Arabidopsis thaliana: one gene and its partner. The protein of the gene in region 1 interacts with the protein of each later gene in a pairwise test. Each region holds a gene or a part of one and is shown in the gene's direction. Other genes may lie near its edges.

Region 1 (5,446 bases):
ATGTGCAAAACTAGTTTATCTAGAAATATAGTTGTTATACCACAACAAAAATTGTGATGGATACTATTTGAAACCACTGTATAATTTTTTTTTGACCTCTATTAGGGTTGTATTAAAAGACTACAACAAATAACAAACTAAATTGTCTCTCTTTTGTTTAACAATGTTCACACATATATATTATCGGATGTAAACATGGGTTTATTATTAGATGCAAGGCCGGCCCAATAAATTATTGGATCTTGTGCTATGCTCCAAATTTTTTTACCTAAAACTCTAAATATTTAAAAAACTAGACCCTGTTTTGCAATTATTTGAAAATTTGGACCCTAAAATATAAAGAAAAAACTGAATAAAGAATTGGGACCCGGTGCACTAGCACACTCAGCACCTCCCAAGAGTCGGGCCTGATTAGATGGTGACCATACTGAAACAAACTAATATGATATGTCAATGTTTTGAGTTTAATTCTATTTGGTTTCTCATTATTCAAAATAACTCTCATTAAATGGAACAAAAACTCTTATTAGTTTAAATCTTAACTTTTTTTATGAAGAGAATGGGCTTCTTTACCTACTACACTCAATGAGCCCTCTGGTTCGTTTGGTCATCAGTTCAAATGGACAGTGACTTTGGAATAGATCTCGACCGTTGGTCATCATCACCCTAATGCTTTGTGTTGCCGTTGGATTGGTCATGTCATGACCAAACCAATTTGACTTCTTTATGTGATGTAAAAGTCTTATTGCTCTCAAATAATCTTCTAAACCATCCACGCGCCTGACTAAAGCAACTGAACGTCAGACGCTACAATAGATCCAAATTAAGAAAATGGGAATACAATTTTTTTTTTTTTTGGTTGGGAAAATAATATCTCTCACTTCAGAGTTCAGATATGAAAATAAATATTTATATCTTCTTGTTAATTCGACATAAATTTTACCAAAAAAAGAGAAAAAAAAACTATCGTACTCTTTGTTTTAAAATAATTTAATCGCATAAAATACAATTAATTTATAGCATTGGTTTGTAAATACCATGGAAAACTCATAACCAAGAAGGAAAAAATTGTATTACTAATTGATTGGTGAGTGGGTGACCAAAATCATTTGTAAGAAAGGCTTTCGATTGGCATGTTGTTCATTGTTCTTGTAACAGTTGCATCTTAAGTAATTAGTATATACGTGTAAGATTTATGGAAAATGGAGTTTAATGGATGGAAACAAACAATATCAGTGACACAATACTATTTTGCCCATGCTCAAATGGACATCATGTTCTATTTTTTCTTGACAAGTAGAGAGATTCATCGCTTTTTAAAATCAAACTTTCATTTTGTAGTGGGAGCCTTAATTGTATTTGACCCATAAATCCAATTTCTTCATGGACGTGTCGTGGTCCATTGATTAAAATAAAAAAAGTAGAATAAACAATCGCTTTTAATTCTTTTTAAAAACAAAGAAACAATCCAATGTAATTTTCGATTAAAATCATTTTGATTCGATGTGATATTGTGTAGAGAAAACTTCATTAGCAATTAATTTACTAAAATATAGTAATTGTAGTACAAAATATATTTCCTATAATCTAAGTACAGTATTTTATCGATACTAAATCTAACAGTCTAATAATCAACGTCCCTTTCCTATACATGAATGTACAATTAAACAAAAAATAGAAATTTATAGACTCAATGATTTAAAGTACATACCACCAAATATGGCAGCCTAGTGATTGTTGTAATAAGCTTTTCTAAAATATTTCTACCTGATTTTCAAGCTTTATAATTTGTATTTCAGATTCTTATTTATATACCAACAAAAATATCTACGTAAAATTTATCATTTTCTTAAAATATATTTTGGTATTTAAAAGGAAAAGAAATAGAGAAGAAAAAACAAGAAATAAAATAAAAAAAGAGAAGAGAGAGAGGAGAGGAGAGGTCACTAATTGTCTATGTTTGGCGCGTATATTAACCACCACCGGCAAAACACCCACGAAAAAGGCGACCACGCATAAAGAAAGATCAAAACTTCCCCATCACTTCCAAAAAGCAATAACACACACACAAACTTGTTACCAGGGAAATTATAAATAAAAATCGTAGCCGAAAATTATAAAAATATTTTATTTTTATTTTAGTTCAAAAAAGTTTTCAGCTTTGAAGGCAGAGAGAGAGAGAGAGAGATCAAGCGACTAGTGAGAGTGGTGTTGAAGCGAAACTACGATCTTCTTTTTTCCTTTTCAGATTTTCACAATCACAACACTCTTCTTTGATCGGAGCTCTAACATTCCGACAAAAGCTCAAAAAAAAAAAAAAAAAAGACTTCTTTCTTTTGCTCTTTTGAGGGATTTGTCTCCCTCTGTAGAGATTAGGGTCTATCAATGGAGCGGTACGGTCGCCCCGGTGAAGAAGGGTCGCGATCGGATCCATCTCTTGAATGGACCTCTCATGGTGGTGAAACCGCTGTCGAAGGTAATGTCTCTTGTTAAAGTTTTGATTTTTCGGGATTAATCTGCGATTAGAGCTGTGAATTCTGATTCAAATGCGTGTTTTTGTAGCTCCGATGTGGCGGTTAGGGTTGAGCGGCGGCGGCGGAGGTGGAGGAGGTGGAGAATCGTACCCGGAGAGACCTGACGAGCCTGATTGTATTTATTACTTGAGAACCGGCGTTTGCGGGTACGGGTCAAGATGTCGGTTTAATCACCCACGAGATCGTGGAGCGGTAAATGATTTCTCAGTTTCAGATTCTTCTCCTTATTCACCAATTTCAATTTCAGATCAGCTACTGAGAGTCTGATGATCAGATCGTTAAATTGGTCACTGGGCATTGTTAAATTAAAGCACATATAAACAAACCAAAATGCTTAAGAAGAAGTTTTTTGTAAGCTCTGATTTTGATGTTTAGGTTATTGGAGGTGTGAGAGGAGAAGCTGGAGCTTTACCGGAGAGGATGGGACATCCGGTTTGTCAGGTTTTGTTATCTGAATCTCTTTCTGATCAAACTATGTTCCGGTTTTAAGCAATGCAGTTTCAATTTCTCTGCTTTTGTTTATTTAAGAGAAATCTGTGAACTTTTTTTTTTTTTTTTTTTTTTTTTCTCAGCATTTTATGCGAACTGGTACGTGTAAATTCGGTGCTTCTTGCAAGTATCATCATCCTAGGCAAGGAGGTGGTGGTGGTTCCGTTGCGCCTGTCTCGCTAAGTTATTTGGGATATCCATTACGCCCGGTTTGTCTTCTAATCTCTCTAATGGTTATGTGGATGCTTCCACATTGTATTGTATGATCTCTAAAAGCTCTTCAAAATTTTGATTACAGGGAGAGAAAGAGTGCTCTTATTACTTGAGAACCGGTCAGTGTAAATTTGGTTTGACTTGTAGATTCAACCATCCCGTGCCACTCGCTGTACAGGGTCCACCTCAGCAGCCGCAACAGCAGCAGCCACAGCCACAGCCGCAGCTACAGACTATTTATCCGACACTTCAATCTCAATCTATTCCTTCGTCTCAACAATATGGGTTAGTTTTGACTAGGCCTTCTTTTTTAACTGGTTCATATCTTCAAAGCCCTTACGGTCCTCCAATGGTTCTGCCTCCTGGAATGGTTCCATACTCTGGTTGGAATCCTTACCAGGTAAATCCATCTTCTAAGCCTTTATCTCGCTTTTGTAGGATTCTTCATTGCTACTCTTTTTGTAAATGAATCTATCGACTTTTTAGGCTTCTTTAAGTGCAATGCCTTCGCCTGGAACTCAACCGTCTATTGGATCAAGCTCTATTTATGGACTCACGCCGTTATCTCCTTCAGCGACTGCATATACAGGAACATATCAATCTGTGCCTTCTTCAAATTCCACCTCAAAAGAGTTTCCTCAGCGACCTGATCAACCCGAGTGTCAATACTTCATGAGAACTGGTGACTGTAAATTCGGATCTTCGTGTCGATACCATCATCCTGTAGATGCAGTTCCACCTAAGACTGGCATTGTCCTCAGCTCCATTGGCCTTCCACTTCGTCCCGTAAGTCTTTTTTCATTTTTCTAGAGATACAAACTCGATCCAATATAAGATTTTCAACGAGTCTTGATATGATACGTTTCAATGTATTTGACAGGGCGTAGCGCAATGCACTCACTTTGCTCAACACGGAATCTGCAAGTTTGGACCGGCGTGTAAGTTTGATCACTCAATGAGTTCTTCGCTTAGCTACAGTCCGTCTGCATCATCACTAACTGATATGCCCGTGGCGCCATACCCAATCGGATCATCCTCACTCAGCGGCTCATCAGCTCCAGTAAGCTCTAGCAATGAACCCACCAAAGAGGCTGTGACTCCTGCAGTTTCTTCTATGGTCAGTGGCTTGAGCCGTCCTGAGCCAGCTGAGACGAGTGGTGACTCAGCCAGCGTCAGTGGCAGCATAGAAGCTAAGACTTCAAGTTAAAAAAAAAAAAGAGAGGAAAATATTCTCAATTCTTCATGAACTAAGCAACATTAAGAAAAAAAGAGAAAAGAAGATTATTTTTGGGGTCTGAGATTTGATGGAAGCAGAGAGACTAAAGCTTCTGTCATTGACCATTTGTCCATATATAATATATTCTCTCATACGGCCATCTCTCCTCTCTTGTTTATTTTTCTTGAATAACGAATTACTAATAAATGGCCTTATTCAAGCGACATTCATCAGAAGTCCCCTGTTTTTATTCCTTCATGAATCTGGAGGAGTAATTTAAAATGTCTGCGAACGTAGAAAGAAGCATAAACGGATATAGTGTACACATTTTCTCTTCCTCGTTCTTGTAAGTTGTATCCAATGACATCTACATTCAATCACTGCACATTGCACGAACAATGCCTATGTACATCTTCTTTCCACAAAAGTATCAGATCTCTCCTCTCTAAGTAAATAAAATGCAACCGTTGAACAAAGAAGTAATAAATTGTGGAAAAAATCGTCTGTTCATATATCCCTCAGAAACTCATAACTTTTGCTTAAGCTTCAGCCTAAGTTGCCATCCAATGGCCTCAAATCCTTTTGTTCAGTTTCTTTACGGAAGAGAAGTCTACAAAATTATAATTAAGTCATTTCATTAAATCCAAGTCAAACCAGGACAAACATTCATGAAAGCAGAATGAAATCCATTTGCTATGTTTTTAACATTAGCTTAACTATATGTAACAACAAAGACTCGACAGATCCGTAAACACATAATCTCATCTCATCGACAGGTGCTTCCGCTTCTTCGTCGATGAAGGACTCTCACTTGCTTGTCTTCCTAAAGGTCGCTTTGATGGTGTTGCACTCTTCAAAGATTAAAAACCAGAAAAGCATTAACCACCTAAAGAAATCAAATCAAAAGAATACAACCTTATACATGAAAATATTGCATTATTTTACCTTCGCGAGCTTCTTCTCTTTGCGGGCTTGCCTCTCTCTTTCATCAAAC
Region 2 (3,406 bases), on another chromosome or scaffold:
TTGGGTCAGGAAGGAGGATTTGTGCGGCGATTAACATGGCTGAGAGACTTGTTCTGTTCAACATTGCTTCACTTCTTCACTCTTTTGATTGGAAAGCACCTCAAGGACAGAAGTTTGAGGTTGAAGAGAAGTTTGGTCTTGTTCTTAAGTTGAAGTCTCCACTTGTGGCTATTCCTGTTCCAAGGTTGTCCGATCCAAAACTCTATACAGCTTAAGTAAGTAAGAAGGAAATTTGGTTTGAGCTTATGAGAGGAAGTTGAATTGAGTTTTCTTGTTTAAAGTTTATTTTTCTTTATTCGTGTTTGGAGTTTGATGCTTTGTAAAAAAAGATGTGTCAAGTTAAATTTAATTTTCTTATATATAATAAAATAAAGTTTTAGTCACAATATATAATAACGCATTATTTTGGTGTCCAAAGTCGATACCATAAGCTATAAAATTCTTGGCAACAAAATTACACATACAGTGTATGGGCTTAAGAACCACAGAAGTTTTGGATATGTAAACATTAACGATCAACTGGTACTCAAAACTTCAGAATTTGACATATCTAATGCATGGTAATTGGAAAAAAAAAAATACCGTAAAAGACGCTATTATACATTACAAAAAATATAAATACTGTGTACACTTAAACAGTTATTTACTTTCATCTATCTGTAAATAAATAAGTCAAATTTTTGATATTTAGGGGGTGTAATTGGTTCCTAATTTATAAGGAATTTTGATGACTTCAATCAAATACTAGAAAGTAAAAAAATGAAAGATTTTAAACGATTGTTAGAGACTTTTTTATAATCTTGTTGATTAGTTTTTCATAATTTTGTAAAGTTTTTCAAACAATCTCTCTATTTTGATAATACTTTTCAATGATTTTTCATGACTTCATTTTAAGAAGAAAAATGTAGAAAGTCATGAACCAATAACATAATAATTTAAATTATTAACAATCAAAGATTCTTTTGTTTTAATTGAATAACACAAAACTTTTAATGACTTTATAAGTGTATAAATCTAATAACCCAAAATTTATGAAGATTTTAAATTATTTTTTACAAATCTTAAATGAATAACACAAAATTTTAACATACTTTTAAAAAGTCTTGATTAAATAACAACAAATTTTACATAACAGTTTAAATCACTTAAATTCTTTTGAAATCATAAACGAATAACACCCCTTTATTAGACATTAGTCATGATAATTTGGGAAAATAATAATTATAGTAAATAATGTTATTATCTTTCCTAAACAAGTATTGCGCAGTCAAACAATAACTCTTCATCATAAATAAATAAGTCAAATTTTCGATATTTATTGAACATTGCTATCTTACCTAAAATTATTGATATGGCAATTTAAATATGTTTTGAGACATGCCTATAAAACTATGACTCATTTTGTTATTCTATGCATCATTTATATTTACTACATTTTCTTACATTGGAGCAAGGTATTGCATGATCTCACCATCTTGATCTAACGTTTAAAATGAAGTTTTTTTTATTTGTCATTAACTTATAATAGTTTTTCATATATACCACTCATGTTTTATTACATCCATTTTATACACTTTTCATTGCTACATAAAAAACAAAAAATGATTTTATAAATATTCGACTATGAGATCTTTCGTGAGAATTTGTTCTCTTATGTTACATTGATATGATATTGTTATGTTTGTACGATTTCTATAAGAACTTCTAATCGCTTAAGTTAGGAAGATTTATTGAATATTTAAATTATATATATATCTATGTAGTTTTACGTAGATTTTTTACTCATCACAAGCAATGGTGAAAATATAAATTTTAGTGGTATTATTTATGATATATAATTTAAATATGTAGAAATTTTTATATATCTTGAAGATATTTTTCTTAATTTTGTTAATATAAATCAAATATGCATATATTTAAAAGTGTATTGATAATTTTTTTTTCTCATACAATTTTTTTATTTAGGGGTTAAGAGAGAAAATAAAACAAAGAAGAATGGCTTCCAACCGTTGTGCTGTCTGCAAAATTTTGAATGAAACTTGTGCTCCAATGTGCATTTATGCACCACATTTTCCATCAAACGATGCAAGTTTCAAAGTTATTATTCAGATTTTTGGAGCCGTGAATGTTTGCAATATCCTTGATAATCTTGAATTTCCAGAACAACGAGAGATTGCTGCCAACTGTTTACGTTATGCTGCTGAGGCTCGTATACGTAATCCTATTTCTGGTTGTCATGACATGATTCTACAATACAAGAATATTCTCAATAATGTTGAACAAGATATTGAATCCGCGGTGAATGAGCTTGGAACCTATGTGGGACACGATCAAGTACCAAAATTTTATGATCTTCCAATGCCAGATGATTTCCTCATGACACCAGTCTCTTTAGATTCTTTTATTGCAAAAATTAAGAGTTTAAACGAAGTTCAAAAGAATCAACTTATGCAACTCCCAACTGCTGCTGATAATGCACCAATGATAATGAATAGCATATTTGGGAAGATGGAAGATAAAAACCTGAAAGATGGGCATAGAGCTGATGGTGCATCAACATCTGCTGGTAAGTGATATTGAAGAGATACTTCCATTTTCTGAAAATCAAAACCAAAAATAATTTTAATTATGTCTTTTCCGTGAATTTCTTTTAAACTCGAGTCTCCATAATAATTCTGTGTTTCTCTTCTCTGTTTTTCCTTTTTATAATTCTACAGTTTGTAATGTCTTAAGTTTAATATATCACAAAGTTTTTAAGAAAAAAAAAACATAATTTGACCAGTTTATAAAGATTTATTAACAGCATTTCCATATTTAATTTCCATAGTTTTTTGCAAATAGTAATCTATATTATAGGATTTGAAGATGTTTGTATATTCTTGATTGGTAACTCCGAAATAATTCTAAAGTTTGTAACACTTAAAAACATCATGTTTTTCTACTGTTTAAAAATTGGATATGAGAAGAAATACAATTCTCCGACAGTCCGACGAGGAGTGCTCTGTCGTCCATACACAAAAAGCTTTTGGCTCATTTTTTATTTTTATTTTTTCTTTTCTCTTTAGACAATATTTGAATGGGACTTCAACACTGGGGGCGACTTGGTCAATATTGGCGTTGTATTTCCTATCAAATTATATATGTTATTATCATTCGTTTTCTCCAATAATTCTATCAGAGATTATCATATAAATTATACTATTACTTATTAGTACAATGAAAATTAAGAGTATTTATTATATTCAACAACTCCTTCTTTACGAATTACGACCCAGTAGAATTTGTCAATAATTATATTTTTTATATATATATTTCACTTATGAACTTTGAGAGTTATCGTCATTCAAAGTTATAATTTCATTTGGTTTTAGTTTCATATCTCTTTCATGTTAACTTCTTTTGTCTG

Evidence for each region.
Region 2: the proteins of AT3G06410 (region 1) and LBD32 interact in a two-hybrid assay, tested with the Arabidopsis thaliana proteins (one large-scale study listed by BioGRID).

Annotation. Positions count from the first base shown.
Region 1 is NC_003074.8:1,946,468-1,951,913, reverse strand, and holds AT3G06410 (Zinc finger C-x8-C-x5-C-x3-H type family protein), read left to right. Parts: upstream 1-1,997; 5' UTR 1,998-2,385; coding exon 2,386-2,476; intron 2,477-2,562; coding exon 2,563-2,726; intron 2,727-2,909; coding exon 2,910-2,975; intron 2,976-3,106; coding exon 3,107-3,232; intron 3,233-3,321; coding exon 3,322-3,636; intron 3,637-3,722; coding exon 3,723-4,022; intron 4,023-4,116; coding exon 4,117-4,443; 3' UTR 4,444-4,902; downstream 4,903-5,446. Other genes in the region: CHR11 (chromatin-remodeling protein 11), read right to left, coding at 5,214-5,303, 5,398-5,446.
Region 2 is NC_003075.7:11,931,306-11,934,711, forward strand, and holds LBD32 (LOB domain-containing protein 32), read left to right. Parts: upstream 1-1,991; 5' UTR 1,992-1,995; coding exon 1,996-2,574; 3' UTR 2,575-2,581; downstream 2,582-3,406. Other genes in the region: CYP706A1 (cytochrome P450, family 706, subfamily A, polypeptide 1), read left to right, coding at 1-215.